Lytechinus pictus: one gene and its partner. The protein of the gene in region 1 interacts with the protein of each later gene in a pairwise test. Links are inferred from orthologs where the notes say so. Each region holds a gene or a part of one and is shown in the gene's direction. Other genes may lie near its edges.

The links.
Region 2: the proteins of GPN-loop GTPase 1-like (region 1) and GPN-loop GTPase 2-like interact in binary tests that used the Homo sapiens proteins (3 or more experiments, as listed by UniProt). The link is inferred for Lytechinus pictus from reciprocal best matches to the Homo sapiens genes GPN1 and GPN2.

The regions. Positions count from the first base shown.
Region 1 is NC_087252.1:17,440,781-17,457,522, reverse strand, and holds the start of GPN-loop GTPase 1-like, read left to right. Parts: upstream 1-10,257; 5' UTR 10,258-10,695; coding exon 10,696-10,863; intron 10,864-16,742. Other genes in the region: E3 ubiquitin-protein ligase TRIM33-like, read right to left, coding at 1,498-3,372. UniProt on the Homo sapiens protein: Small GTPase required for proper nuclear import of RNA polymerase II (RNAPII). May act at an RNAP assembly step prior to nuclear import.
Region 2 is NC_087248.1:21,490,468-21,507,962, reverse strand, and holds the start of GPN-loop GTPase 2-like, read left to right. Parts: upstream 1-10,891; 5' UTR 10,892-10,991; intron 10,992-17,495. Other genes in the region: S-adenosylmethionine-dependent methyltransferase Rv2258c-like, read right to left, coding at 1,781-1,971. UniProt on the Homo sapiens protein: Small GTPase required for proper localization of RNA polymerase II and III (RNAPII and RNAPIII). May act at an RNAP assembly step prior to nuclear import.

The DNA.
Region 1 (16,742 bases):
CTCCAGCTTTGAATCCACCGTTTTCACGTCACGTGTATTATGTCTATCAACTCACTTCTCTCAATATTGGGTCTATAAAAAGCCCTGTTATAGGGGCAAACTTTCTCCAGGATTTTTCAACATCCGAATTTTTGGCCGTATTGATCTGATATTGATGGATTGATTGTTTATCATTAGATTAAATTTATATTGCGATTTATAATTGCTTTTGATTTTTTTTTGTAAGTCTTAAAATTTTCCTCATTTTATTTCTCTGAAGATTCCTGGCCCACCCCCAAGATACGCACACACATACATTTACAATTACATATAACTATTAGGTCTTGTATTTATTGATTCCCATTCTCAACAAACATTTCTTTTTCCGTAGGCCTACTATGGGTGACCAGACTCATTACTGGTCACGTTGTCAACATCAGTCGTTTATGTCATAGAATATTCTTCATTTAGAAAGTAAACATTGGATATGAAATATAGGTTTTAATCATTTCTGAATAGTCAATGTAATCTGCTTTATTTCACCTTTCAATTTTGCTTGGTGTCATATGTATTTATGCTTGAACATTTTTTTTTCTAAATAAGGGTATGCAAAATGATATTTTAATGGAAAGAAAAGGCAACATCAAACAGTCACTTTGGTAAATTAATTTCTACTTAAATGGAGTTTCAAGGAAAGCCCTTAAACTGTATTCTTTTAAGAATGGTAAAGATCTTTTAAGAATGGTAAAGATAGAAGTAGTGAAATCTACGTACACATGCATGAAACTATGTTAAACAAGATACAGTTGGGGTGCAGCTTTGGACAGAGCTTCCTAATCAAGGTACCGTTAGACATTTCGTTTTTTTCTGGTTTCGAAACGGAAAAGAAAAATCGAAATAGTTATCCAAAATTGATTCTATTTTCGAGATTTAAAACAGAAAACGGCCATTTTTCAATATTTTGATTCAAAAATGAAAGATGTTAAAACGAGAAAACAGAAAAACGGTTAATTCTTCCGTTTGACTTTTTTTTTACATATTATAATTTTTATTTTTTCCTTTTGAAAACACAAAATTGAATTGAAAGTTTCGTTTCCTCTATTTGTTTCGCGTTCACGGAACATAACATTGAATTGAAATCTCTTTTCCCTTTTTCTGCTTCACCTTCACGAAACAGAAAATTGAGCGCGCCTCCTCGTTTCCCTTTTCCTTTTCGAAATCAGAAACACGAATAATCTAACAGTACCTTGATTCTTCTTCAACTGAAGTTTAATTCTTTTTCAACCTTTGCAGAGTCTCATATTTCAATTAGTCTCCTCTGTATGTAATAACAATTGTATATTATGTACTTTTGCCTTTTACTATCCTATTGTTTACATTATTTTTTATCGAATGGAATGAATTAACTTTCTTGACATTAATGAAACATAAATACCAAGATTAGCATTGAAACTGGTGAATTTAAGAATTTGTAAAGTAGGACATTAATAGGCTCTTGAAGGCCGAAACATAATATTCTTACGAGGTAACTTTACTAGTAACTAGGTTGAATACATAGAGCCTATCAGGTGTACAGAAAGCTATCTCTCCTGATTGAAACTGTTGAAGGTAATACCAATGTCTCTCAGGTTTCTCAATCTTGTAATCAGATATAAGACTCCTAATGTGTTTGAGCTCACCGGTATACTCATCGATATTGAGCAGACCTTCCTCGAATCTTACAGAGGAAATCAGGATTGTATTGTCCTTACTCACAGCGGCAAAGAGGCGTATTTCCAGAGGTTTACGTAATAATTGATACATTATAACACCCTTTTTATTAATACGTGCTATCTGAGTGTCATCCTGCTTAACGATCAATGAATCACCATAACTTGTGATTTGCTTTGGTTCATACCCATCGCAGGGTATCACCCTTATAGCCTTCCCACCTGATGGTGAGAATACCTGGATCTTCTTAGCTTTCCTGTAGCTAACATAGATCAGATCATTGCTGTCAACGGCGAGACCACCTGTTCCACCTTCACTCTTACCTAGAGTATCGAATGTCACATCCTGTCTCTCTTCATTTGATGTGTACAATGACATCTTATTATATCTATCACGTACAGCATAACAACCATCAGAGAGGAATCCTAGGTCCACGATCCATACGTCTTTGATCACTGCCTCCTGAAGCTGACAATTAGGAGAGAAGATATAGATTCCCCCTTCGCTATAACCAACTGCTACCATACCATTATTGGAAGCAGCTATGCCATTCATAGCGTCCTTCTTTGAGAGTGCTGCATTGCATTTCGGCTTACATTTCACAAACCTCAGTTCCCCCATTGATAATGTATCAGGATCGCAGCTTGGTGTAAACGTCAGTTCCTCTGCATGATCGCCGACATCAATAGCAACCATCTTCTTTGGATTATCCCTATCTAATACATTATTCAATTCAAATGACAATGAATCACAAATTGCTGCAGCATCTCCTTCTATTTGGCCTTTCAAACTATTACTCAACAAATCACTCGCACTCTCAATACTCTTAACTAACCTTTGATTATCAATTTTCATATTATTTAAACTCCTAACTAATTTTTCTTTCTGATCATCGAGTTGCTTGTTCAAGGTAGCATTACTCTCTGTTATTTTATTGATAGCTTCTTCGCAAATCCTGTTGTTTTTTGCCTTTTCCCCATCAATGTGATAGTTGACGCGTTTGATTTGATGATCAATACAAGTCATATGATTCTTGACTGTTTTAGTTTTAGTTTCACCACGTGACTGTAGGTTTTCAACTCTATCTTTGATGGAGGCGGTGTACTCCCCGGCATCTTTAACACGATGGCCTTTCTCCGGAGTGTGGTAGAGCATGCGACATCTCGTACAAATGAGCTTCTTACATGTCGTGCATACATCAGTGCATTCATACTTCTCAGTTCTATGTATCTTTTCCCGACAATATAACTTCTTCTCTAAGACGACCCTTCCCTCTCTGATGTCCTCAACACTCACTACTTTGTGTTTAAGATTAGGGTTCCAGTTGTTATGATCTTGCAGACATGCGTTACACATATTCTTACCACAATCGCAACAGAAGTGTGCGGCTCTTGATTGCTTGTCACACGTGTCACAGAGCTGTTTACTATTCCTGAAGCCGTCAACAAGTGACTTAACAGGAATGTTAGTTTTAAGGTTTGCAACATCGCAATTCGCGACAGTTGTAGTATTTCTACATATTGGACACGACAAAATATTTTTAAGTAAAGAGAACGCCAGAATATCTCGAATACATGTTTTACAAAACGTATGTGTACATGACAGTTGTTTTGGATAAGTAAGCAAATCAAAACAAACCGGACACTTTAGATTTTGCGAAACGGTGTGCTCAAGTGTCGCCATAATTATTGTTACCTTGAACCTTTTGTTTTTGTTTTTAATTAGCACAACACTTTAAATATCTAGCAAAAGCATAGATCTTATTCTTATAGTATTTCAAACTGCAGTTAGTATATCAACGGTATAAAAAACAAATCTGTAATATATATTGAACCAAAAATATGCAACTCAAATTTGTCTTACGTTTTTTTTAAATACACTGGAAGGCAGCTCTTGTCTGTCTGCACACTTTTCCTAGAAGGTACAGTCTATGATTTCTCAGTTGGAATTCAATCCACATCAATTCTAATGAGTTTGTCTTCAAAGTCTTGACTTCTCTCATATGTTACGTTTGTCTTGATATAACACCCGCACCTCCTCCGCTACGACCCTCTCCATCGTTATTCTCAACGCGAACCAAAGCGACGAACCTGGATCTACTTTCTATTACTCAATCCTCACACTAGACCGTAGCTAGCCCTTTCTGTATTATGATGTCGACTGAGGTAAAAAGAAAGAAAAATGAGAAAAGATATCTTCTACTGAAATGATTATTTAAAGAGGTGTCAAAATTAGGATTTTTCAAGGGGCATATTGTCACAGGAATAATTTTACAAGCAAAAAAGGGTATTCCATTAAAAATTGAGGTCATTATTTGCTAGATAATAATTGACAAGCAAAAAAGGTCATCACTACACAATGGACATGATTTTGTTCCAGGAACAATTTGAAAGGAAAACAAAATTAATTCTGAAAAGCAAATTTCCATTTAAAAAAATATATAAAAAATTATGTATATTAAAGTACTATTTTATTGCTTCTACCAGTGAATACAAAATAAACTTGCTTCATAACTTTCATTACTTCATAAGATACATCATAATAACTTCATAAATAATACATCAACGTGGCACGGGTCCATGAAACAATTCACGTTGGCTACGTCAGCTTAAAAAAAACCCACCTTCTTAACCCAACTGCCCAATGAAAACGGTTATCAATGCAGAAAAGTAAAGTTATTGTTATGCTAGTTAAAATTCGCTTAATATCAGAAAACGATAAATCACAACGGCCTGATCGGTATGCAAATAAGGGAATCAATTATGCCACCTACACATAGGTTCTGCTGTATTTTATCATTTTAGTTGATACTTGTATGTTCGATAGTTTGTATATCCGAACCAGAGACAAATAAATATAAAACATGTGAAGGAAATTTCAAAATGAGTAATATTAGATATACAAATAACATTTACAGTGGTCCTGGGAATTGAGAAAGATACAACATGTGGATTATTTTCTTACATATATTCTTGGGCTTGGGTCTCATCTATCAAATGAAAGTTTAAAAAAAATGACATAATGTTACACGTGTGTGAGCAATTTGTAAAGGTCGCAGAAATCGTTTTGCGCATAAATGCTCATTTTCACGCTGTATAAGGGAAAAAACGGCGAAACAAACTAACCGTGCCATACATTGCTTACAATTATTCTTTTGCACTTTCAGTCAATTGAAATAAAACCGATACATTTCAAATTTTGTAACACATAAACATTTTACCCTAGGTAAGCACAACCTTTAGCTCAATAGCGGGTCCACGGGCCGGCTGTGTCCCCCCCCCCCCCCCTTGAGAAGCAAAATTAAAAATTATAATGTAAAAATGCTATTAAAAGAGAAGCGTGCCCCTTCCCCTTTGAAAGTAAAGACCTTATTTTTTTCATGTCAATTTTTTTCGGGGACGAAATATCATTAATTTTTGGTTAAAACACTTTTTTTCTTTTCTTTTTTTGTTTGTCAATTTTTCCCTCGGAAAATGTGCCCCCCCCCCCCTCTCTTGGGAAATCCTGGATCCAACCCTGCTTTAGGTTTTTTGGTTCCAGCTGCATCTGAGGACATGTAAACAAATTTATATTTCAGACATCTCCTGTTCAGCAATTTCTACTAAGTTTTTATCATCAAAAGTTGGTTTTCATTTCATATAAGCACCAACTTTGATGTCTTGATTATGCATATATTCTTTTGAATTGTGTTTTTTCATGTACATCCACACAAAACAACAATGCGTCCACGAACGACTGGTATTTCACATTTTGCCAAGTACATTGTGCAACATGCTATGATATGCTTTCAAAATAGGAATGCAACAAATCCCTTCATAAAGTGTTCATAAGTGTGCTATTCTTGTCACCTGGTCCATTCAGTTTCTTCATCCTGCTATGTAAGGCATGCTTATGTAATATCTTTCTTTGAAATCTACATATCATAATGAAAGAAATGAAAGGTCATTTGACCAAAATTGTCCATGAAGTAACTACGAACTGGTCTATTACCATGGAGCTATAAAGTTGTCGGTAAAATGACAAGAATTTGATTTTGTTGAAATAAGGGAAGAAAAATGTTACCTTTGAACATAGAAGTAACAGAGTAATACACAAATCAGCATTCAACCTGTTCAAGAATTCAGCTACTACGTATTTAGGCGCAGGAACAACTATGGTGGATTTCTTTAAACAAATATTTTACTAATCCAAGCAATCCAGATGAATAACCAGTTACAGCAATTAATGCTTGATAGTGCTGGATCTTGAAGACGATGCCTTATTTCTATTTCTGTTTTTTTTTTTTTTTTTTTTTTTTTTTTTTTTTTTTTTTTTTTATAATCAAGCCACGCCTGCAGTATCCAAAGGAAAATCTATATCCCGCCGCTTATCACATTATTTGCATAATGTTTTAATTGCTACAAAGGTCATAACTATAACAAGTCATGACTTGTGGCAGATAAGCTTCATGATCATGATGTGCAAATATTTGTCTGCAGACAGTAGCGAATTTCAGTCAGTCGACTTTTACAATTTTTTTCTTTTTGATAATGACAATCAAAATATTTTATGTGCAGCCTTCTTAAACAATTTTACCAAATTAAGAAAAAACACTTGGACAAGGAAAAGTAGTAAAATGAGGAAAAATGGCATTTAATCATTAAAGACTTTAAGAGCAGAGAGGAAGAAACTGAGGTTAAACATAAAATACAGAAAGATAAGGGTGAAACATACAATTGAAAAAAAAACAAGGAGAAAAAAAATGAGGGAATTAGACAAAAGTGACGATGTGTCAAAATATGCCCTGATATATTTTGGTACAAAACGGAACCTGCCCGGGCCTCTATAGCCTATAATCTAGGCGGAGGCTAATGTCTTGAACGGTTAATGTAATAGTTAATGTCTTTGCTGTTATGCTGAACGCAAGCGATACGTCTGATGTGACAAAGACAATAAATGCTACCTCCGCCTAGATTATAGGCCAGGGTCTCCTCTACAAAATATAAGGGAACCGCTCGCATCATCTATATGAAGGTGATAATTAAAGGCAATGGACAAGTCTATTACCCTCCAGCATGTACCTGTTCTAAGACAGAGGGTCGTTTAGATTCGCAACATTTTGATTTACCGAGAATATCCCAGAATCATACCATATATGGCAAGCCATTTGACCCATCGACGATAAACATAGTTTATCGTCTTTATGGGTCAAATAGCTTACCATAACCATACCACTTTAAAATTCGGGTTACACTTCGTAATTCCGAAGGTTCTTTATTCCGAAGGTTCGTAATTCTGAAACACGTAAATTGCCTATACCTCGATGTTCGTTAATCCAAAAACGTAAAAGGGTTCGTTACTCCGAACATTTGTGGCATTATTCCGTAGGTTCGATAATCCGAAAACGAAATAAGGTTCGATGTTCCGAAGGTTCGTTAATCCGAAAACGAAATATATGGTTCGTTGTTCCGAAGGTTCGTTAATCCGAAAACTAAATAGGGTTCGTTGTTCCGGAGGTTCGTTAGTTCGAAAACGAAATAATGTTCTTTAATCACTTCGTTTTCGGACTAACGAACCTTCGGTATTACGAACCTCATTTCGTTTTCGGACTAACGAACCTTCGGAATTACGAACCTTCAGAAATACGAACCTTCGGAATAACAAACCTTCGGAATATCCGAACCTTCGGAATAACGAAGCTTCGGAATTACGAACGTATGCGAAAATTTGATCTGACGGGCCTGCATGTGTAAGAATGCATTGACACATTCGGAAGTAACAAGAAAGAGACAAGTGTTTTCAGAATTGTTCAAAGGAATATCGATGTGATCTTAATGGTCTGATTCATTTATCCCTGACAAATTACTTTGCCCATTGAACTTAACATTACAAAATGATACAAAATGATGAATCAAAAGGTATAATTACATTTGAGAAAACTCAGCATCCCTAAAAATAAAAATTTACACGAATATGGATTCTACAGTATGAAACATTTTGAAACTTGGTAAATCTGACCAAGATGTTGTTCAGACAAAATGTAATTGTAATGAATAAAAATAATGTTCAACAATATGTTGAGTTTATAGGCAACGTAGATCACACCAAAGGAAAATGTAATAAATTCAATAATGAAAACGTGCACAATGTGAGACTGCATCAGGCAATTATCTGGTGAACAAATGCAACTTTGAAACTACAAACATGAAAATGGGATTAAGATAAACAAGCATCCTTCGAAACTTTAACCTTATTTATGCCTATATGGATTTTTATTATTTGAAAAAAGGGTTAACTTCTTGTGACTTTTCAAATAGAATAGCTTTAAACTCTAAGTAGGGTCCAATAAACCATTGGAAGCATTCGTTTAAAATCTCTCTGTTCAAAGTACGCATGATAAAATAGTGAATGCTCATAAAAATATAAATTCATATATTCTTATTGAGACTCAACAAAAGAAACGAGGATTTTATAGTTAAATTATGAACTTATTTTTATAATCATTGATGACACCCTTTATAGGGCCGACCCCAAGAAGAATTTACATTTATCTTGCTCATTATTAACTTTCAGACAATTGTGCGTATGATGTTTTGCAACATAAGAGCGTAAGATATTAGATGCGTTTAACACAACCTGGGTCAGCTTTCTGTAGATGGATTGCTATAAACTTTAAATCACGCTTTATTGTACTTTAAGCTATTTATGGAGTGCCACGAAAAATGTATCTACATATGAAATTTGAAACTGAAGTTTTTTTATTGAATAGTTTTGTTCTTTTATCCAAAACATAATTGCTATTAGGGGTGATTTCTGAAGATAAAATGTCAGCAAGAGTACTAAAGATATCAACCTGCAAACATTCTGTAGTAATATATTCGTAATATTCTTACACATCGTGTTTACATGTAATGCATTTACTATTTATTTAATAGTAGACTTAAGTTGTTTTTCTTTTTTGATAAAATACTATTTTGTCTTTGTTTATCTGCTTATAGTATTTGAATTGTATATTTGTTTTGTATTATTTTGTACATTTTGTTTTGAACAAAATGTTGGCGGATGCCAGACGTTCTAATAGATTCAATTCACATAACGGAGCATTTATTTTTTATTATTACTATTATCATTTATTCTAATTTGTGTCACTCTTTCGTTGGTACCTTCGATATTTTGTATAGTCTCCTTTTAAACTGTCTTCCGTCTCTCATTTATACTATAGTTTTGTAATGTTGTCTTTACGTATTGAAACTAAGTTACAGGCAGACAGGGGCTTGCCTCACATACAAGCTTTGCTTTTTTGGCAAGCCCCTCCGTTCTGTTTTTTTATATAGTTAATAGTCAAAGTTACTTTAGTTCGCATTATAGTTCTCATTGTTTATACCTTCTAATTCTTATGCATTATTCCGATTAATATTGTACTTTAAATCTGACTATGTATTGTTACTTTTATTTTGTTGTGCTTTTTGAACGGAAAATGAATAAATCTAAATTAATCTAAAATCGAAGGGCAAGTGGAATTCCTCTTTTATTTAATTGATACATAATGCAACCAATCAAATATGTCATGTAAATTTAGGAACTTGTTTTCATCAAACAAAATATCAGTATGAGATCACTGGCGGATCGAGGGGGGGGGGGGGGGGCTAGTCTACAAATGTAGACCCACATCTGCAGTGTGTGAACCACAGCTGATTCAAGGAGTTGCATAGACTAGGTCTACTGTAGCTGCAGATCTGAAATGGCTCGCTTCGCTCGCCCTTTCAGGCTAGCTTCGCGCTGAGATCCCACCTAACGAGCCATTCAGAGTCTGCATAGCAGACTATAGGGGGGGGGGGGGCAAAGCCGGCCCGTTTTGGAAATGTACTCTGAATAATGAATTAATGACTCTTGAATTTCTGGAAAGAAGTTTACTTAAATAAGAAGTGTGAACTTAATTCCAACTCTGCTTCCAATGTTTAACCCCAAGGAATTTTGCACAAGACTTCAGTAATCTGAACCGCATGCCTTAGTTGTAATATTAGCTGGCAATGTTGCTAGAGTGTTGCTGAATAACATGTAGTTTGTTTTAACAAATGATTCAAGGAAATTAAGCCTGATTTTGTTCAGATAATCATCCCGTCATGTCTACAATCCTTCAAAAAGATGATGAGATGACAATTAATAGATCTCGATCTCATGTCTTTATCCAATATGGGAGATGATCAGATGACAAGATATCTTGGATCTCGTCATATCTATACATGCCGTTTGAGATCGATGATCAGATGACAATATCCTGGATCTCGTCATGCATGTCTACATCATGATCCATGCAGTGCAGATCATGGATCCAAGACCTTGTCATCTGATCATCATCTCCACAACTCATTAATGTAGACATGACGAATCCAAGATCTCAGTCATCTGACCATCTCTCCCACATGTAGACACGACGAGATCCAAGATCTTGTCAAATGTCAACTCATATCATCTCTCCCACAGGATGTAGATATATGATGAGATATTGTCATCTCTCCCACAGGATGTAGATGATGACAAGATCTGAGATCTCGGCATCTGGTCAATTTTTCCTAATTATAGAGATGCAGAACATATAATAAGATTATTATCTGAACATCAGGGTGGCACGTATACGTTCAAGCTTCATTATGTTAGCAATGATCCATTCGTTAACAGAAATCAATTCTGTATTGACAGTCAGCTAGTGCAACAATAAATTGCAGGGGTTCTTTTCAGAAGAAATACATGTATAGGCCTACATGTATGCGTCATGAAGGAAATCATATGAGAAATAAGGTGAACCTTGCACTCTGACACATGTAATTGACTGCATATATAAGACTTAACACCATCTAAGAATACAAACTGTTCTAACCAACCAACCAACCAATTAACCAACCAACCAATATACCAACCAACAACCAACCGAACCACCAACCAACGAACCAACCAACGTAACCAACTTAACCAACCCCAATCATGATCAGCAGCAGCCGCGTATGCGCATTATCTTGATAAGCCAAAATGGCGACGCCCATGGGTATTTCTGAACCTCGTGAGAGTGACAGAGTTAGCAGCGAAGACGGTGAGAATGGAGGTGCTTCTGCTGGGGGATTGCACAACACTGACACCAAACCACCATGTTTAATCGTATTAGGGATGGCAGGCTCTGGTAAAACGACTTTCGTTCAGGTAAATAAAAAAAAAATGCGTCCATGCTTAGCCCATGCCCCACATATTGATTATTGTGTTGAGTATACAATTGAATTGTACTGTAGGATGGGGGGTCGCACCCAGGCCAAGGGTAGCCAGGCGGCTTCTAGAGAGTAAAAATCATTTACTAACGTAAGGTCACTCTCATACGAAGCCAGGGCTTCCGTCATATACTTTTGCGTGTACCACCAAAAAACCTGAAACTTTCGCCCCCGAAATTTCTACTTTCTTTCTAAAAGATCTAGCCCTAAATCATGTAGGGATAAAACTTCATTTCCGACATTTCTACGCTCTCGTTGTTATTTTTGAACAAGAATTCATCAAAAAAATGAGAGAAATATTGTGTAAAGACGGAAGAGACTTGCCCGATGTTTACGCCGCCATCTTGTTTCCTATTGTTCTTCGCCAACGTTACAGACGCGTGCATCGGGTAACGTTGGGGAAGAACAATACTATAGAAAACAAGATGGCGGCGTAAACATCGGGCAAGTCTCTTCCGTCTTTACACAATATTTCTCTCATTGTTTTGATAAATTCTTGTTCAAAAATAACAACGAGAGCGTAGAAATGTCGGAAATGAAGTTTTATCCCATGTACATGATTTAGGGCTAGATCTTTTAGAAAGAAAGTAGAAATCTCGGGGGTGAAAGTTTCAGGTTTTGGCTTCCATTGTGTGGGTCTATGGGATAGAAGGCCTGGCTTCATGAGAGTGACCTTACGTTAGTAAATGATTTTTACTCTCTAGAAGCCGCCTGGCTACCCAAGGGTTCATTACATGCCGCCGCGCACAGAAAATTCAAGCCATAGAAGTCGTGTGTTGTGGACCCAAGAAGTGAGATCCCAGCACGCGCTACCCACTAGTTAGAAATCCACTGCCAAACGCGGTTCGTGGACGTGGTGCGAGGTTAGTAATACTAATACTAACCTCGCAATACGTGTGAGTGGGGGGGTCGTAGCCAGGAGGCTTCTAGAGAGTAAAAATCATTTACTAACGTAAGGTTACTCTCATACGAAGCCAGGTCTTCCTTCCTATACTTTTGTGTGTACCACCAAAAAACCTGAAACTTTCGCCCCCGAGATTTCTACTTTCTTTCTAAAAGATCTAGCCCTAAATCATGTACTTGGGATACAACTAACAACTTCATTTCCGACATCTCTACGCTATGGATTTTATTTCTAGACAAGAATTCATCAAAAAAAATGAGGAAAATATCATGAATAGACGGAAGAGACTTGCCCGATGTTTACGCCGCCATCTTGTTTTCTATTGTTCTTCTCCAACGTTACGCGATGCAAGCGTCCGTATCGTGGGTGAAGCAGACAAGCAGACATGCCTAGAACATGAGTAGAAATCGAGACCGAGTATGAGTTCAAGTGTGTATTAGAGTCAGAATACGCATACACAAAATTGGCGACGAGGATAAAAAAAACCTGAAAAGGCAGAGGATGTGGCTCGACGCGTGGACCTTTCACAGCCAGCACCCTTTGATGTTCGTTCGGCTAGAGCAGGGATTGCCTGGCCAAAATGGAGGCGGACATTTGAGTACTACCTTGCAGCATCAGGAGTCTCAGCAGATGGTCAGAAGAGGGCTCTTCTACTACATTGTGCTGGACCAGATGTTCAAGAGTTGTATGAGACACTGGTAGATGAGGATGAGCCTAAGTATGAGACAACGCTGAAGGCTCTGACCAAATATTTTGAGCCCTGGAAGAATGTGGTATTCGAGAGACATGCATTTCGACAAGCAGTTCAAAGTGATGATGAGACAGTCGATGAATATTGCACTCGACTATTGTCGTGTATTGGCAGCATCATGTGCATTTGGTGAGCACACAAACTGAGATTTTGCTTACCCGTGTGGTATCAGTGAGAAAACAGATCCTCTGAGAATACCTTTCATAATTCATATAAAATATAGGAAAGTGGAATTCTAGGTCGATTTTGGTACGAGGTGACAGAGTATTGCAGACTTCTTTCGATGGAATATTGCGTGGGGCACGGGAGGCTTGCAATGCGCATGCTTACTATATTTTCATTCATAAATTTGCTTGCGTCGCAGTGACTGGATGACGTCACTGCGCTGCAATAGAAACATGGCGACGATTGAACGATCTGTCACATCATCATCACTTGAAAAACTTGTATATTTATGGATATTTCGAGGGTTATTGGTGAGATTCAAAATGAGACTTGTGTACTTTTGTGATGAGTTACAATCATGTCTTACACTACGCAATACAAATCAAATACATGTACGTTATACTGGTGAGCAATTTTCGGGTATCGGGTATTGATTTTTCTACCCGGGTACCCGAAGCTTCCGGGCGGGATCCGGGTACCCGGGTTTTAGTCCCAGCCCTACGTATTACACGAGGAACAATTATCCATAGACTGTGTACAACGAATAGATCATCTCCGCACAGCGATTCGGAGACCGCTGATTGGTCAATCGCGCAGATCACGTCATGACCACGTGGTCGCCAAAATAATTCCTTCGGACTGCGTGCGGAAGTATCGATAGCGATAACGATATCCGGTCACGTTGTGTACGCGGGGAATGGTCTTGGTTCGTGATCGGATCGCTCCGGTATCGATCAGATTATCGAAACTCTGCAATTTCATGCATATTCACGCGACGCTCTGAAACCGGGAAGCCAATTGACTTTGTGCACGTTGCGATAGACTCTACAAATTCCGACGAACACGATGCCATATCGACGCTAATTCGTAAGATTCTGACGGAAAAGCAATAAGTAATCGAAATTTGCTTACCTGTGCGGTATCGGTGAGAAAATAGATCCTCCGAGAATACCTTTCATAATTCATATATAATATAGGACAGTGAAATTCTAGGTCGATTTTGGTACGAGGTGATAGAGAATTGCAGACTTGTTTTCGTGGAATACTTTCTGGGGAAATGGAAGGCTTGCACTGCGCATGCTTTATACTAATTACTATTACTATATTTTCATTTTCATAAATTGGATCTCGGCAGTGGCTGGATGACGTCATTTAATAAGCAAAAATGAACACGTCTGCTACGTTCACGCTCAGCTATCCGTTGTACACAATTTGTCACTGTGTATAACTTGGGTCTTATGTAAATTTGATTCTTAGTTTAAATTATTTTTTCTTAATTAAAAATAGAGATTGAAAAATAAAAATTTTCTTGCCATATTATTTTCCACCAATAGAGGGTGTACACAAAAATATGCCCAAAATTCAAGTTTTTGAGCGCTCTGGTGAATACAAAAATTATTCCCATGTTACCAATAAAAATAAGTTGCAACTGTATGGAAATTAGTAATTTTGGTCACAAAAGTGATATTTTAATGATTTTAAAGTGTGTGCTATGTACAGCATTGGCATACCAAAGTCCTCCCTGTAGATTCACCACAGGCAGGATGGTTGCAGTGAACAAGTGTTTACGATTACATCACTCAGTCAAGGCCAAGGGTTCATTACCATCTACCTGGAGCGAAGTTCGTGCAGGCTCCACTCCACTTCACTACCGCTACACTATGCTCCACCTACCCGAACTTCGAGACCGTGAACTCAATCTGATATTCCGAGTGACAAAGGTGGGATTTTATGGGGGGGGGGAAATATAAAATTCATGCAACATCACGATCTTTAAAAACAATTAAAACTAATATTCTTACTTTACACAAAGTTTCACTTTTCCATGCTTCTATCAGTCTCAAAATTGGTGATTTAGAACCAATATGAAGTTCCTCACACATATAAAATAATTCGCTGCCGATTTCAAAACATCGCATGCGGATGCGATAAGCGGGAGGTACCGGGTCCGATATGAGCTCGGACACTTACGCATGCGATGTTTTGAAATCGGCAGCGAATTATTTATATGTGTGAGGAACTTCATGTTGGCTCTAAATCACCAATTTTGAGACTGATAGAAGCATGGAAAAAAAGCGAAACTTTGTGTAAAGTAAGAATATTAGTTTTAATTTTTTTTTAAAGATTGTGATGTTGCATGAATTTTATATTTTCCCCCCATAAAATCCCACCTTTGTCACTCCGAATATCAGATCAAGTTCACGGTCTCGACGTTCGGGTAGGTGGAGCATAGTGTAGCGGTAGTGAAGTGCAGTGGAGCCTGCACAAACTTCGCTCAAGGTAATTACCATCCTGCCTGTGGGAAATCTACATGGACTATGGTATGCCAATGCTACACACAGCAAACAATTTAAAAAATCATTTAAATATCACTGTTGTGATCAAAAATACTAATTTGCATACAGTTGCAATTTATTTTTCATTATTAACTTTGGAGTAATTTTTGTATTCAGAGCGTTCAAAAACTTTTATTTTGGGCATATTTTTGTGGAAAGTAATATGGCAAGACAATTGTAATTTTTCAATCTCTATTTTTAATTAAGAAAACATACTTTAAAGAATCAAATTTTCCTAAGAGCCAAGTTATATGATGAATAGCTGTAATGGAAACTGACAGTGTAAAAAATCAAGCATTTGTCCCAAAGAAAAAGAAAATAAGCCAAACATTGCCAACCTTATTTCACCGCACAGGGAGTAGAAACAGAGAACAAGGTTATATCATAACCTTGTTCATAGAATCGTGCCTTTACATACACGCACATGTATATGCAACTCAACAGCTTGAGTGGCAGACTGGAGTGGGTATTTCCATTTTCTGACACCCCTTTTCCCCATTCACTTTTGTACTGGTACTCCTAGTATTAGAGTCAATGTATTTTTCATCAAAAAGAGGCGCGACGTCACCAACGTGTGGTGATTTGGCATTTGCTTATTGTATAGTATTGAATATCCATCGGCATTACATCAAACGCGATCTTCGTATCGCTGTTTGTCCCCTTTTTGAGCAAAGAAAACAATAAACTTTTTCAAACAGATAATAATGCTCGTTTAACTTTAAGCAAGAAAAATTTGAAATGAGTAAGTTAATGATCTCTGAGGTGTGGTTTTATGATCCTGGGCTGGGATAATTAAGTGTTAAATCTGACGAATATTCGTTCTCATAACCAAGTTTGGGGGAGTAACGGACGAAGCTTTTTTCGTTTCCAGTCATCGTGGCCATCCAAAAGTTTTACTTTTCTTTTTATGAGGGCTATGTTTAGTCTTTAGATCCCCCTGAAAACTAGCCACCATTAATGTATTTTGTGGTGGCTATTTGGAGCCCATGGGGGTTCTTTTTTAAAGGTTGTATTTCTGTTCCACGATTTTAACTAAAATTTCAAGCAAAGTCAACATAATAGTCTACAGTATATACATGTAGATCATTGCAGACATTCAGAGTTTCAGACACCCATGATTTATTCATTATCACTTATTTATGTACATGTAATACTTAAATGCAGGCATGAAAAGTGAGTTTTCTTTAAAATCAAACATTTTTTTTCAGAGTCTTGGTGAGAAAGCAGAGCGATGTGACCAAGCCAGGGGGAAGGGGTGGGAAGAAAGAAGAAAGAAAAATTGAAGGATTGTGAAAGAAAGAAAGAAAGAAAGAAAGAAGGAAGGAGAGAAAGAAATAAATTATGAAAGCAAGAAAAGGGAGGAATAAAGATATGAAATAAAAATAAATCTGAAACAAAAGGTAAAATTCTCTCACCTAACATTAACCACCCCTCGCATCCAAAATGTCAGATTCGCTATTTCTGAACATAACAGCTCAGAAATAAGGGTTAAAAAAAGGTGGATTTTTCATGGTTAGCCTGATGTTCGTGGTTATTTGGGAGCATGTCCTTACATGAAATTCTGACTTTCAAGAGCCATATTGCCGGCCAACATTATTTTCCCCATAAGTGAACGATGTGTTCTAAAAAATAAAAAAAAATTGACAACAATGACGCAAAAT
Region 2 (17,495 bases), on another chromosome or scaffold:
TTGCTTCATGGATCTGAGTCGAGTGCGCACAGTCAGTTTGATCTGCGCTAACTTCATGCGCGCGAACACACACACACACATACACAATAAGTAGACATACAAGGATTATACTGAGCGAGCGCTAGCGCGCGTACCGTGCAATGGAAAAATAAAAAATGCACGGTCACCGTGCAATGGAAAATTACAAAATGCACGCAGTAAAAAATGGACCAAATATTGAACACCTTTCAACCAATCAGATGGCAAGAATCTTCGTTTGAGTTATATAATAATCACTATAAATGCCCTGTGAAAAGTGAGCCAAATTATTTTTTTTTTCTATTCTACATCCATGACATCTGACGTCGATGCTTGTTTGAATTCGCTCTACCTATTCAAATAATTTTTTGGGGTGGACTTGCCCTTTGAACAAGTTAGTTTGGCTATAGGGCCTACACTGTATCTACATACTTAACATAAATTGTACCTATATAGCCTCATTAAAATGAACTCGCTAACACTCCTCCTCTCCTTTCTTTTCTCAAGCGCATAGAGACTTGGAATAAATGAAAATACAATAGGACTTATTGGCACTTCGAAAAAAAACCCTCAGCATTCCCCTTTTTAATGAAAATCGAATGGCCAACATATAATCTTTCAAATGATAAATTTCACAATATTTGTAATCTTTAATATCAAAAGGTAAGTTTACCAAGACTAATATACATGAGCCTATATTAGGTTAGCGCAGAATATGCATTATACTCGATCTGTATTCAACACACTATTCATTTCACTGTGCTATTGTGTGTTTTACTGAATTGATATTAAAAATATGCCTATATGACACCAATATTCTAAACGTTAAGGTGAGACCGAGTCGATCTATCTCTGGTTTCACTTTAAACAAGAACTGAATATTGATTGTTCCTTAAACTGTCTGATTTACTTATATACATGTACATAGCTAACGTTACTTCATTTTTTTTCTGTCTGTTACTGCCACGAGTCCTATTCAAATTTGTTTTTTCGTGATAGGCCTACATCACTCTACTACCGTAAATGTTATGTCATATTTCTTCATATACCACACTGTTCACAATTTGCACCTATTAACGCTAAAGCAATCAAAACATTTTAATAAATTAACTTTGATTTCTTTTTTACCCTTTTTAATGCCAGGATTGAGATGTCAAATCGTTTTTGCTTTTATTTTGTAACACTGATCCTTTTATCCTCAATAATTTGTTTTGGTTTGATATATTAATGGGCAATATGTATATAGAAATCATTGGTAATAGTGTTGACTGGTAATCATTATCTTGCTTTTCATATTTGGTAATTTCTTTTTCGTTCTAATTTATTGTTATGTTATTTTATGCGCTACCTTCAAAATTTGAAATTGTCAAAATTGATTATCAAAATGAACATAATTTCAAAGGATACCAATAATTCTTTTTATATTTTGTGCCTGTATTATTTATCACTGTATCATATCTTGTTCATTGCTTACCTAATATTTTTATTATTAATATAATTTTTTAACAGGGCCACACGGAAGACCACCAAATTGGTGATATGTGTAACCCTGTATAAATATCAGAAATAAATAAACAAATACATGAATAAATAAATACGTTCCATTATTATTGATATGTCAAAAATCTCTCACATAATGTCTTCCGCCATAATCCAAATATTGCCAACACTATATGAGCTAACAATCTTCCAGCGGGTATTTGATATATAACAAGTAGGCCGAGGTTATTACATACGTGCATGTAAAACCAATATGACCTACCTCTCCTTTAGGCCAGCTACATCAGCTATCTCCTGTGAAGTCAATGGTGTGTCGTGAAGATCTACTAGAACTTTAAAAAGACCGCTCTTGACTCCAAATGCAATCGAAATCCCAGTGAATGCTCCGCTCAGCATATCGAAGATTCGGGAGGAAAACTCCTCCGCCGTCTCTTTGGCATATTTGTCCGCCATTTTCAGGAGAATCGTCCGTCGCCTTGCTAAACCAAAACGAATATGAATAGAGCTTGACCTGAACTTGAGCCTGGGTAGACTTCGATCTGTGCTGCAGATCCTGGGTAGCTGGTATATATTATGGATGCAGCAGCGCCTGCTGCTGTGCGGTCTAGCATAATGTCGAGCAAATAGTCTCTATTTACTAGGCTATATATATTCAGTAAAAGCAGATAGTACATCTAACCCTTGTAAAGTGCGTCCCAGGAAAAAGGACACCGTGATCCCGGGACCAGGAATCCCGCATCCCTTTTCTTAAGAGGCAAATTAATTATGATATTTTATTGACATCATCATACTCAATTATTCCTCTGCATTTTGATATGTGACGAACACTTCACGCATTAATGAGCAAGACGAGTTTGAAATTTTAATGTCAAAATCAGGTTGCGCAGAAAAAAGTGACAAGATTGGACGACAACCGTGCTTATTGGACGATTGGCTCAGCATTTCTTTTTTATTCTTAAGATTCCCTCAGTGATCCTTGAAATGTGAGTGGATTCAGATTAACACGTGAGTTTCTGCGCAAATCGTTTCTGATAGGCCTCAATATTAATCACTGTTTTTAACCTGCCATGCGTAAATTATATGCTAAGGTGTTTGTCTCAAATTAAAGATAAGATTCCACTCTTACCATGGGTATCAAATTCAAAGTAAAAATATGTTAAATAATTGTGAAATCTGTCTCTGAAAACGGGTTTCCTTTTTTGTGGGACGCAGTGTATAATAATGAAATTTGCACCAGGAAACCAGTCGTTTATGACGGCCATATGGTAAATACTGAACTCGCACGCGTAGCATTTGTCTTTAATTGCTGCATTAATATCACTAGATTAATATGCAGGTAGATTGGTTTGTGACATCTAAATTTTTGTAACATCAATCTTAAAGTGCACGTGATTTATTTGAAATAATTATCGTAGTAAGATAGCGACTAATAAACAACGATCGAACGAATTAAAGTAGAGGTACATGTCTCAGTTGCACTCGGGATATATTATGATAAGGGATAAGGAAATATATTACATTGAAGGGGATTGGAGTCAATGGTGTGGTCGTCGTTGTACAACATTTCCATTAAACTTTATTTTGTATAGGTATTCTGATTTACCCTTTGAATTAAGCGCCGTGGTCTAGAGCTGCAGAGGGACGCGGCGCCAATTTATGAGTCTTGGGCCGTGCCCCCATCCAGACCTTTTACCCTTCATCACTCTTTAAAACGCCCCTTTTCTTGTTTTTCTCTTGTTTTTCTTCTTTTTACTATAAAAACCATGAGGCCATTGTCCCCTGATCATGAAATATAATGAATTACATGATCATACATGTACGTGGAGGAATGTAGGCCTATATAGCCTTTGTTTTGCACCAAGATACAAATTGTGAGTAAGCATGCATGAATGAGTATAATTATATGCGGTAATGCATATTGTCAGACCTTGCTGTGATTATTGTTGTGTGTAGTATGCACTGCGCTTCATGATTTTTTTCCAGAGAGATTAGATAATTCATTAAATCGACCGTATGTACGCATTTTGCAAACGATTTTATACGAATGACAAGGCCATCTCCAATCTGCCTGTTGTTACCTCATAAATTTGCACATTGGTATGGTTAGATTTACTTTTCATGTTTTACTTCCTGTCAAATTGAATAAAACAAATGAAAAATAAAATGAAAGCATGTCATCCCATATTTCGCGGGAAAAATTAGAAATAAGTCATGATCATGCCTAAAGGGCAGGTGAATCTGTTCACCCGTCGGGAGCGGCTGATAATGTCTATAGTGGTGTATGGATCGCGTGCTTTGGCTGTTGCTATGTCGGGTATCTATGTTTGACATGGTAGCAGCTTTTGTGTGCGATCTGCATATGCATACTGCCGAGTATGTGCATTGGATCCCAGCGGGTGGATGGAGACACTATATGCCCCTATATGTCCGGGCGTGTGTTTCAGTATAAACACATGTTGTGCGTTTTGGAGCATCTATTCATTGCAAGCCTTATTGGCTTTTACGGATGCATCCTTTTCCATAATTGTTTTAATTATATTTCTTAATTTACATATATGTGTATATATATATATATATATACATATATATATATATATATAATAACAAAAGATATGATGCAAATGATCATATTGGCTTAATTGAGTACGTTACTTTCTTTTTTTTTTAAATTGTGATGGAAATGGACTAGGAATACCAACACATTCTTATATAAGTTAGGACCCAAAGTCATCTTAAAAACGTAGTTATCATAACAAATTTAAAGGCCTATATATACTACAATGGAAATCACAATATGGAATTTTCCTTAATGTTTTGTATGAAATTTTGGAAGTAAACAACAATGGAACCGGTACTAAATAAAGTGCCAAAGTAAAGTCACATTTGAACATTTGGCAGTATAGGGCCCACTCCTTGTAAAAAATAAATAACAGAACTTGATGGAGGGGGGAATTGTGTGGATAAAAGAAAGATAAAATTTTTAAAAATAAGTAAAATAATGTAAAAAAAAAAGAAGAATGATAATAGGCCCTAATGTGTAATTACGTAAAGGAAAGTAAACGAACAAACATAAATACAAAATAAAAAGCAATGTAATAAGAATAAACTATAAGAATAAACATCAATGGTAGGCCTTTAGACAAAACCGGGAATGGGAGCATTGTCATCATGAGACATAAAGACACATTATACATGTTATAATCAGTTAATTGAGAAGAAAATTCCGTTGGTACAGGAACTCTTCCCCAGAGTTTGATACCCCAGACTATTATCATGATTATGACCCACCTTCATGGGCAACCTGAAAACATATACTTGTATACAAAAATAGTGCTTTGTGACAGACATCGACTTATTTTTCAAACAAATGTTGTTTTTTCGACTATTATAGCTGCGCCTTGAGCATTTAATCAAGATGGAAAGTGCGCCACACAAGTCTCACGTATCATTTATTATTTATTTTATTGATATATTCATATTCCACAAAGCACATTTCATAATAAATCATTTTTACAAAGAAAAGATGCATCAACTGCATAACACAATCATGCAGGATTGAAACGTACCAATGAAATGAAAAAGTGGAGGGGCCTACTGTTAAGCAAAGCTTGTAAGATGTAGACACCTATCAAAAAATTAAACAAGGGTAATATGATATAAGTAGAGAAAAAATTATCAAAAAAAAAAATTCTACAAATTTATATATAGATATAAGCACTGTAACACAAATGTATATAGTCTATATAAAAAATTAAATATTGACTTTAAAATAATCAACACTACCGTGGAAAAGTATGATCGAAGTTTATATATATTTGTTTGAATCAGTAAGAATTCAAAAGAAATGTTTTGATGAGTAATTTAAATCGATTCAGATTAGCTGCCTCTTTTTTTACTCTGTCCAAATGAATTCCAGAGTTTGGTCCTTTGGTCCTGTGGAAAATACAGTTTTGCTAGAAAATACTCTGTTTATCTTTTAGGTATGGTGATAGTCACAAGACGAGTGAATGAAATAAGATGAGGGGAAGACTTAGAAAATAAAAATAATCTTTCGTGTCATTATATAAAATTTCCGCTCGCGCTTCGTGCTCGCATTGCCCGTCAGGTGATTTTCATATCTTGTTCATTATAGAGTTTAAATATCAAGTTTGAAAGTCAATAATTATACAAAACATATTTCATCTCGGAAATCGAACCTTCATTATTTTGTGTGATTTACAAATTGATTTGTAAATAGTGCTCTGTAAAAATTCCAGTTATATGGTCTGAATATTAACATTTTCTGAGTCGCGCTGCGCGCTCGCAAATTATGATTTACCAGTTACCTATTATTTTCGTGTGTTCCATAAATTTTACAAAATATCCCTTTTCAGGTCTGATTTTCAAAACGTATCAGCTAGCGCTGCATGCTCGCATTTTGATTGGCGAGTTATGTATGTCTCAATAAAATCCCCTTTTCATGACAGTGTATTAAAAATTTAGGCTCGCAATTTTTGCTGGATTAATGTTTAAAAATTTATTAACTGATGCATCCTACTTATAAATATAAAAATGCTTGAAATGTCCAGTTTCAGGCTATAATATCATCATAAAAATTATTTCTCACCCTCATTAGGCATGAATGAATAAGATATCAAAATTAATAATTAAATTGACCCTTTTGTTTCATCTCGCCCTTAGTAAGAGGAATAGGAAGACAGTCATCATTTTCATATGATGACATGTCCTAAGGATGTCGTGGTCCTATGTCAAAACTCAAAGTAATTATGATGAAAAATATCAGTGCGATCCATATCCACCTCACAATTTTCCTACAAGGTGCTTGAAATATAGAGCTGAAATCGACTCTTTTTTTTCAGATCGGAAAAAAAAAATTTAAGCTCGCGCTTCGCGCTCGCTTTGATTTTCATCGTTAAAGATGTATTTAGAATGCCCATAGATTCTAGGTCTAAATATGAAACCTGCGCGCGCATATTTATTAAGATACTCAACTTGTTCTCTGTTTAAATCATTATCAAGTTTCAGAAAAAAATTTCTCCTCGCGCTTTGTGCTCGCATTATTAATGTAGGAAGATCCCCTATTACTCATTCTTTTCATGATTTACAAACTATTTTTAGGTCTAAATCTCGATTATTTCCGCTCACACTTCGCGCTCGCATAAATTGTTGAGTGCAAGCAGTCCTTAATAGATACCTTTTCGATCAGTACAAAACGTATATCAAAATTTTGTGCTCGCGCTTTGCGTTCGCAATTTTAATGTAAGGAAGATCCCCAATTACTCATCCTTTTCATGATTTATAAGACATGAATAGATTGTCTTGTTAAGTAAGTCTAAATCTCGAAATTTTCTTCTCTCGCTTCAAGCTCGCATCAATTGTTCAGGTATATAATCATGATAATGATACCTATTCTGTTTAAGTTACAAAAAGTGCTTAGAATTTCCATTCTTTGGGTAAAAAATGGCAAAAAAATCAGCTCGCGCTTCGCGCTCGCACTATTTCATTTTTAGAATATGTAGCGTATTCATGGCTTACATGCATGAATTCTTTAACATGTACCCTTTCCATCAGTTCATTTCTGCTCGCCCTTCGCGTCCGCAGTAATTATTTAGTTGCATACACATCTTTTTCAGGATAACAAACATTGCCCAGAATGTTCAAATTTTAGGATAAAAATACATAAGATTTCCAAAAAAAATTAGCTCGCGCTTCGCTTGAATTATATGAATAAGGATTGATTTATAAGAATAAAGCTAAGAATTATTAGGACTTCCCCTTCAAAGAAACCAAAAATCATTTTCGAGCGGCCGATCGGGGAAAGTATGGCTGTAAAAAATTTCGCCCCCCCCCCCCTTATTGGCGAAGGCTGGATCCGCCTGCATACGTTTGAGCTCTAACTTAAGGACATATTGCGTATTATTCTCAGTACTTTTTTCTGAAGTAGCAGGACATTGTTGAGTCTCGTTTGACATGTTTGATAGGCATTTCCCCATGCCAATCCCATAATTAAGATTATGGTTCTTGCACAATACAACGTGGATAGCGCCTGTGCTGGAAGAACGTTTTTAAAGGGCAAGTCCACCCCAACAAAAAGTTGATTTGAATAAAAAGTGAAAAATCCAACCAGCATAACACCGAAAATTTCATCGAAATCGGATGTAAAGTAAGAAAGTTATGACATTTTAAAGTTTCGCTTAATTTCACAAAACAGTTATAGGCACATCCTGGCTAGTATGCAAAATAATGAGGGAACTGATGACATCACTCATTCACTATTTCATTTGTATTTTATTATATGATATATGAAATATATTCTAATTTTTTCCTCATTGTCAAGTGACACAATGATTAATTCTTCCCTGAACATGTGGAATTAGCATTGTTTAATACTATATGGTTCAGTCAAGTTGGTCCTTATTGTCAAATCTAAAAAAAAAAGAAATATTGTATAATTCAAACAATAAAAAACAAAAGAAATAGTGAGTGATGGACATCATCGACTGACTCACCCCCGGGGGGGGGGGGGGCACTCAGTATATAATGCATAGTGGGTATGTGCCGCGGAGGGGACCCCCATTTTTACACTCAAATTTGCGTTCCGAGGCATAGCATTTTTGTCTTATTGAGAAAAAGAACAAAGAAAGCCGCTCCAGAGCATAGCATTTTTTTCTTCTCGAGAAAAAAGAAGAAAAAAAATCCGGCCGCTCCAGGGCTTCGCATATTTTCCGTTACGCCGTTCCGGTCGCAATTTTGGTGAAAAGCGGCCGTCCGACCATCGCCTCTGCGCTAGCGCGCCCGTCAGTCGTGCCGCCGGGCTAGCTGCAAGTACGTTCCATAGGGATGCATACGCACTCGCACGCAGGCGACCCGTTCCAAGGACCCCCGTTTTCACAAACATTTGTAGTTCCGAAGCCCGTTCCGAGGACCCTCCTTTTTACAATGAGCCCGCTCCATGCAAGGCCCCCGTTTTTTGTCTCGCCCGCGGCACACCCCTACCACTTTTTTGGTCGAGTGCACCCCCCCCCCCGGGGACTCACCTAGTTGTGCAAATTACTGTTTTGTGAAAAATAAGCGAAATTTTAAAATGTCATAACTTTTTTATTTTACATCCGATTTTGATGAAATTTTCAGCAATGATATGCCAGTTTGATTTTTCTCTATTTATTCAAGTCAGCATTTTTCTGGGGTGGACTTGACCTTTAAGCTTATTGATGACTCCAATATTTCTTGCCACAGTATATATTGTTGATATGAGCATTACACGTAGGCCTAAGTTCGTTTAGTATAAGACCTAAAAATTTGTTGTTTGCACTTCCTTGATTGCAGTATTATGCGGCAAATAAAACATATAGTTTTTGCAGATTCAGTGACAGTTTGTTGGCCTGAATCCAGTTTGTTACTTTTTTTTAAATTCTGCATTCATAGTGCTCACAAGTAAATGTGGATCATGATGTGTGTAGAAAATATTTGAATCATCAGCAAAGATAATAAACGACAGAACATGAGATGAATTGTTCAAATCATTAACATAAAGTACAAAAAGAAAGGGCCAAGAATACTACTTTGTGGAATTACATAGGTAACTAGCCTTAATTGTTGGAGATTCTGATTCATTTACGGTAACAAACTGAAATCTAACAGTAAGATATATTCTATAAACCATTACCGTAATTTAATTGATAACTTACCGTTTCATGATCTATTGTATCAAACGCTTTTGAGAAATGAGTCGAGGAACAATTACCCTACGTACGCCCTACGATATGATCAGAAATTCTGAATTGTTTAAAGAAGTATACAGATATCTTATTTATTAATGCCAATATAGAATGAGTTGTCTTTTCTCTAAAACCGAATTGATTATCACATAATACTTCTTATGGAAAGCAACATGTCCTCTTATAAAAATTTAATTATCCTTTCAATAATTTTTGAGAACGAAGTTAACAAAGATATTTATGGGCGGGAATTACTAGTAATTAATTGATCTCCCTTTCTGAAAATGGGTCTATTTTCATCTTCTTTGGAACCTGACCAAGCTGCAATCATGATAAATTCAATTGAAGCAGAGGAGAATTCACGACTCTATTTGTAATGCCATCGTGACCAGGAGTCTTTTCAATAGAATGAGTACCTTAAGTTCAACCATATTTCCATCTACACAAAATTTATAAACAACACTATAGCTTTGTTAATTTTGTTTAGAGCCCCATTTATTGTTTTTTCATGTATTTTTAAGTACGTTTTTACTATGATTATTTTCTGAATAAAACCTCTTTTTTGTTATCATAATTTGATGTTTTTTCTATTATGTTGAGTAAAAACCGGCCTTTTTAGAAATCAATAAAAAATGAGTTCTAATTAATTAACAGGCACAATTACGTTATATATCATGTGCCAAATTGATTTAGATTTTTTTTAAATTCAAATATTGGTATTATCGCATATTTGACTAGTACGGTCAAAAATGCGATAATACCAATGATAATTAATATCTTATCTTATAGTTTCACTTACCAGTCATTTTTTTCTCGGATTTGTGGCCTAGATTAAAGCAGAAAAAAAAAAATACTCGCCGCCCTGCACTCCCAACTTGAAGAATGCTTTAAATTTTGCGGGACCTTCTTTTGCGTGCCGATCAATATTTATTTATTTTCTTTCAATAAGGATTGATATGGGCAATCTTCATCTTAGTGCAATTCCCTCATAAATTTGTTTAATTATGATTGACCAATTAATTGCACAGCTGAGAAAGGGTATTTTCTGTTTATATACCGTACGTGTGAGTAAAAAAAAATTGACCCCTCACAATTAAATCCCCAATTTAAGAAAAAAATTATTCAACATGACCTGAAAGAGAATGGTATCCCAAATAATTTGGCGCAAATCAAAATTTACATCACTGCCTCCTGTCTCCTATAGACATACCACATAAATATGGTATGATATTATTTGGGGAAAAATAATCCAGCCATAATATGCGTTCATGACATACATATTTTTTTACTTAAATTGGGGATTTGTGAGGTGGCAAGTTTTTTTTATTGTTCAACTCGCACAGGATTACTCTTATTATTAAGGTTCTTCCCGAAAGCTTTGAAGCTGCTGAAAGAGATTATACGGATATTACTCTTCATGCAAGGTTCAAGGTGAGAAATAACAAGGGAAATAACAATTGACAGATAGGCCGATAATAGGTTTTAATTCACTTTAATCCACTATATAGCAATATATTTTAAATAGTGAAGTCTAAAAATGCATTTGAAATGAAATGAAAGTATTCTAGAAAAGTCAGTGATATACAGTATATATGGTATACAAAATTGGTGTTATTTTTTTAAGTACGGTACGCGTACGGTCGTCTAACTAACGCAAAATTGAAATAATAATCTGAGCAGGACGTCAGAAGAGTGAAACTTCAGAATTCGATGGCTTAATTAAATGTAGGCCTAGTTCATTTGCTTTCTCCTCATGTAAGTTGAGAATGTGATAATTTGATCGTGTTTCATTTATTGGTTATTACTAAAAACATAACTGCGTGATAGGGAAGCTGATAATAAGTCTAAATGTTAGAACTTATTCGATCAAGTTGTAAGGTGGAATTGAACAGAGCTCCGCAGCCGGCATGCACTGGCCACTGCAGCCATGGCAGTTGCAGGCCTGGCTCGCCCGCCGTGGACGCCGCGCCGCGGCCGTGGTAAAGCGGTTGCTGCAGAGACATGAACCGGTGTACATTGACATTGTATGGCAGTGAGTCCAAACTTCGCGTGTGTCCATACTTCGCGGACGGTCATTATCTAAAAAACTAGACAATATTCTTAAAATATGACATCAACTTGAAAAGCGACTTAAAATTACCTTTTGGCGTAATTTTCTTTTTTACTTTAGGATGAGTTCAGTAGGCCTATTACTATTAGTATTAGCCTAGTATTCATGAAAATATTGACAAAAGATCGGCAAATTTGTCAGTCACTGTTAAAAAGTGTTGGCGCCCGTTCCGAAGAAATCTTTTATTCTCAACAAGCATCACGATATCATCATTTTGCAAGCAGATATCATCAAAAATGTGAGTTAAATCTGTCAGTCCGCAAGCCCCTGTGTTAATGAGCAAATGAGCAAGATTTATCCAAGTCCTCTCGTGGCTGAATTCATGTCCCTGCAAAATCTCGTGAATTGTGAGACTTTCTTTCTCAAAGAATTTAACCACTTTCTCCTCGAGTAATATTGATTATTTTTGTACCATGGGCAAGAGTAAATGTTACTCTTTTATATTGGTCATTTCTTTTGAATGAAATATTTTGATAAATAAGTGATTTTTTACCTGAAAAGATGCATCAAACATAATTGTTTTCCTCTGTTTTCACTTGCAAATTGTGCAACATTCTGTGTTTTAGGCACCAACATTATTTATATCATCAGAAAGCTCAAACTCTATACTTTCTTACAATGTCACTCTTGATATGTGGCATCTTTTAGATGGGTCAGCAGCCAGCTTTATCCATCAAGATGCAAGACGAGATTTCTGAAATTTCTGAGTAACATAAAATCCAGAGTTCTGATTGGCTGAATACTGTTTTCAAAACAAACAGGCGCGGGTAATTTGAAGAGATTACCACATGGTGAGTGTGACCTTGCAGAGGCCCAGTGTGAGGAACATTGGATTTGCGTGGGTGTGTGGCTCTATGACCAATCAGAGCGCAGTATTCTTGTTTTTGAGCTGCAAAATGTACTTGGCCTATGAAAAGCTCGCTGCTGACCCATCTAAAATACATCTTCTTATTAAAATTATATCATATTAAAGCTTAGATCTTCAGCTTTATCATGATCTAAAAATCATTTGTGCCCAAACAGAAATTAAGTGTGAAAACAACAACTTTTGTTGCATGAAAAAAAATATTTTGTTTTATGTTTTAGATCAAAAGTTTTTCCTATATTACAACATTCTTTTAAAAATCCAAATACATGACCTGAAAGAATGATTCTTCTTCTTTACAAAGATACCAAAAACATGAAATTTGGTCAATATTTAGAGCAGCAATGGCCGAATAAAAAGAGGTGTTTTGGTTCGCACCAAGCTCATTAACTATGCAAAAACCCTCTAGTCATGAATATCTCTTGGATAAAAGAAGCTACTTTTTCAGGGCTTGCGGACTGACTGAAATGTGGTACTGACTGATTCTATAGTATAGCATTTTGTCGTCAATTTGATATAAATATCTCATCTTTTGAGCTCGAGTTTTTGTTTAAATCTCAAAAACTTTGGTCTGCGAAGTTAGGTCACACTTTTTCAGAACGGTTTTCCAGCACAGCGCACATTCGTAGATGGGAATGGAATTTTGAGATCGCGATACCGGCGAAACCCCTTGACCTACTTCACATTTTCGTCAATAATTTTATAATATACGATCTTGCCGTCTATGTGGTAACTATTTTTTTGATTGATTTTGTATAAATTGTTAATATTTTGTAAACAATATTAAGCCTGAAGAATATTTTGAAAAGTACGCGAAGTTTGGACACCCCATCATATTTGTACACGTGCGTGGAGATCGGATAGAGGGTACGATGTCCGGACACCTAACTTAGATCTAAAATATAGGCAGATACGCGCGCATCGTACGCGTCAGAAATTAATTTCACACGCTCAAAACTTTGCAACATCCTTCTAAAGGGAACTTGAATAGAAAGATGATGAAAAATGGTGAAAAACACATTTTCAAAGTCTTAATATTCTAAAAATAATATTAATAAAATATGGTCAAAATAGCGTAGTGATTTTGTTGTTATCTCAACTTTTCCCATAGAAAACACACTTTCGTTAATACGATACCTTTTTCAAGTGACCAAAATATTCACATGCGAAGAGGGGTCCGACTGGAAGCTAATATCGTAAAAAGGAAAAACGATTTCGGCATAATTTTTACATATTTATATTTTGTAGGTAATTGTGTATTTATGGTGAAAGTTTGGTGAATTTTATGAGAATAATGTGTTTGATATGATTGAATTCATGAAAAGTGTTCGGTAATACGATCCACTACCATACTAGTACTAGTACTCGGACAGAAGTAGTCTCGGCTCGGACATGCCGGACTAAGTTTATGCATCTAAAAAATTTGTATTTGTACTGTAGTCCCTGGCTTGGGACTCGGTGATCACTGACTCAGTCTTGGTTTTTTATTTGCTTTGTTATGCTGATTGAAGGATAGAGAAATTGTAAAGTGCCATTCCTTGGGAGGAAGAACTTTCAGCTGTGAGTGATGTCGATCAGCAGTGGTCTCATCCTTATAATCGATTGTGCTAAGGGAGAATTTATTCTTTCTATTGAAACAAGCGGTAGACGTACATGGGGCAAGGGTAGTGATTTTCCAATGGATTATGACACCTTGAAGTTGATGAAGAAAAGGCATAGAGCCTGGGAGAGTTGGACAAAACTGTAGAGAATATACAATCAGAAATAAAGTGTAGGCAGCTAAAAGATATTGTCAGAAAAGATATGAGTCTAACATTGCCATTTGCCAAGGAGGTTAAATCTAATCCTAAGAAAATTCTGGCAGTATGCGAAATTCAAGACAAAAGTGGAATACCACCTCTATTACAAGAATGTACTGGAAATAGGAATTAATTGACAAAATCTGATGTAGAGAAATCAATGCACTGTTGAAACACTTTTCTACTGTATAATACACTCCTGATGGACCTATCCCTTCTGTTCAACGCCATGATGTCCTAATTTGGACACAGTAATTATTACTGAAGAATGTGTATTGAAGAAATTAAGTAAACTAAATGTTTCTATTAAAATCACCAGGTCCAGATGGGTTACATCCACATGTTTTGCTTGAAATGGCACCTGTTCTTGCAAATCTTTGAGTATTATCTACTCGAACTCACTTGCATCAGGCGTAGTCCTAAGTATTTGGAAGAAAGTCAATGTTAGTGCAGTATTCAAGAAGGGAGATCGTAAACTCCCATCAAACTACAGACCTATAAGTCTTACTTGTATAGTATGTAAAATCATGGAGTCTATTCTAAGGTACAAAATATATGAGCATGTGAGAAGCAACAAACAACCTTCTCAGTGTAAACCAATTTGGACTTGTATCTGGTTGATCCACTATGTTGCAGTTGCTCCAAGTTTTAGATGATTGGACAAGAATGTTGGAGGTCGGCGGGACTCGGCGGTGCAGTTGAAGCATACACTTAGACTTCATGAAAGCCTTTGATAAGGTCCCGCACCAGAGTCTTTTAGCCAAAGTAGAGGGATTTGGCATATCCAAACCCATATGTGAGTGGGTCAGATCTTTTCTGGTCGGTAGTAAGCACCGTGTTTGTGTTTATAATGATGGCTTCTCTGATTGGGCTGATTGTTACTAGCGGAATTCTGCAAGGGAGTGTCCTTGAATCCCTGCTTTTTGTCATGGACATCAATGATCTGCCGGATCAGATTTTATCAAGTAATATTGATTTATTTGCAGATGATACGAAGATATAAAACATGTAGAGAATGACAATGATGCCGAGTTATTACAGGCAGACTTAGATTGTCTTGTTTCCTGGTCTGACAAGTGGCTGTTAAAGTTCCATCCAGATAAATGTTGTCTACTTACAATGGGAAAAAAGAGTGATGAATTTAATGGCTACACAATGACACATGGTAATGCCACACATAATCTATCACAAGTTGAAACAAGTAGATTTAGGCGTCATCATTGACACAAAGCTTAGTTTTGACCAATATTTTCAGGCAAAGATCAATAAAGCCAATAGGTTAATGAATTTGATGAGATGAACATATGTTTATTTACACAAGGAGAACTTTTTACTCCTACATGTATAAAAGCTTTGATCAGACCACATTTACATGTAGAGTATGCACATGCCGTATGGAGTCGAAGAAACATATTCATGCATTAGAAAATGTACAGAGAAGGGCCACTAAATTGGTACCTGAGGTAAAAAACTTCCATACAAACAAAGATTGATCCAACTGAAACTCCCTACATTGAAACTTACAAGTTATTTCATAGATATGACCAGGAGGTAGTGCCAGATTTGGGTCAGGTTCATGGGCCTACCAGATGTCAATTGTTTATTCCAAGATCAGTCACTGAGAAACGTAAGAAATCCTTATATGAGAATGAGAAAACCATGGATGAATTAATAGTTAATACACCCAGTGTCTACAGCTTCAAGAACGGACTGGACAAATATTGGAGAAGTGAACTAGTGAAGTTCAAGTTCGATGCTGACCCACCAGCATATGATCCGGCCAATTTAAAGAGAAGAAGGAATTTGGAACTGAATACATAATGACTTCGTTCAGTACATTCCCTAAGTATCCTAAGTAGATGCAAACATTAGGCCTAACTTATGATGTTATGTACTAGATCTAACTGAGAATGAGATATTCAAGTTTAAATCGATTTAGATCTAGGCCTTTCTGTTAGACACTAGATCTAATGAATTGCAAGGCCAAGGCAGCATGTGGAAAATGAAATGAGTTTGTTTAATGTTAGATGATTGTGGGCATTAACGGAAAGACAAGACAGAGTATACGAATGAGGAGACTGATGACATCACATCATGCACTCACTATTTCTATAATATGAAATATTCTAATATTTTTCTCATTCTCCTGTGAAACAGAGTTTTCTTCCTCCCTGAACATGTGGAATTACCATTGTTTTAACATTTTATGGTCCAGTCAAATTGGTCCTTGCTGTCAAATCAGTAAAAATTGAAATATTGTATAATTCGAACAATGAAAAAACAATAATAGTGAGCGACGTCACTGACTCTCAGTTGAATTGTGCACATAACTGTTTTGTAGAGATAAGCGAAACTTTAAAATATCGTAAATTTCTTATTTGACATCAGATTTTGATGAAACTTTCAGCATTATTCTTGACGGGACGTATTATGGTATCACGCTTGGTGTCCGTCCGTCTGTCCATCCGTTAACTTTTCCTAGTAAACGCGATAACTTCAGTTTGACTAAACCTAGGCTCAATTAATTTGGTGAGTATGATACTAGCCTGGATCCCAGGAAGCCTCTTGATATTTTGAGGTCAAAGGTCAAGGTCACAGTGACATGTTTTCATCTTACCCTTCTGCAGTCCTTGTATGCAATAATTTCAGTTTAACTTAACCTAGGCTCATATAATTCGGTGTGTGTGTTACTAGCATGGATACCAGAAAGCCTATTAATTTTGAGGTCTAAGGTCAAGGTCACCATGGAAAAAGGTCAAAGGTCAAGGTCACAGTGACATGCTTTATTTTACCCTTCAGAAGTCCTTGTAAACATGATAACTTTAGTTTAACTTGACCTAGGCTCATATAATTTGGTGTGTATGATACTAGCATGAATCCCAGGAATCCTATCGACTTTGAGGTCAAAAGGTCCAAGGTCATTGTGACATGTTTTCATCTTACCCTTCTGAAGTCCTTGTATACATGATAACTTTAGTTTAACTTGACCTAGGCTCATATAATTTGGTTTGTATTATACTAGCATGGATCCCAGGAATCCTATTGATTTTGAGGTCAAAGGTCAAGTTGCCACCTGTAATTTCTTTGGTTGACCACTAACTCCATTTTCCACATTACAGGTGGGCGTATTATGTGCTCGCCCTAGCGACAATCTACTTCTCTTTTGATTTAAATCAACATTTTTCTGGGCTGTTCTAGACCTTTCAGTACCGTATGAAAGATGAAGAGTATTGGCACAGATTTACTAAGGTGGTTTTGAACCCTGGGCCTGGCTTGGCCTTGGATGATAGATTGATTCAGAGTGTATTATATTTTAAAAAAGAAAGTGTCTAATAAGACCATGAAGACAGCGCCTAATATAATGAATGCTGATTTTGCTACAGCAAGGGTCCTACATTCATGCTTGTCATGACAATGTCGGTCGCATTGCCATTAGCTACCAACGGACATTCTTCCCTGACACATTTAAACTGTGGAATGGGCTG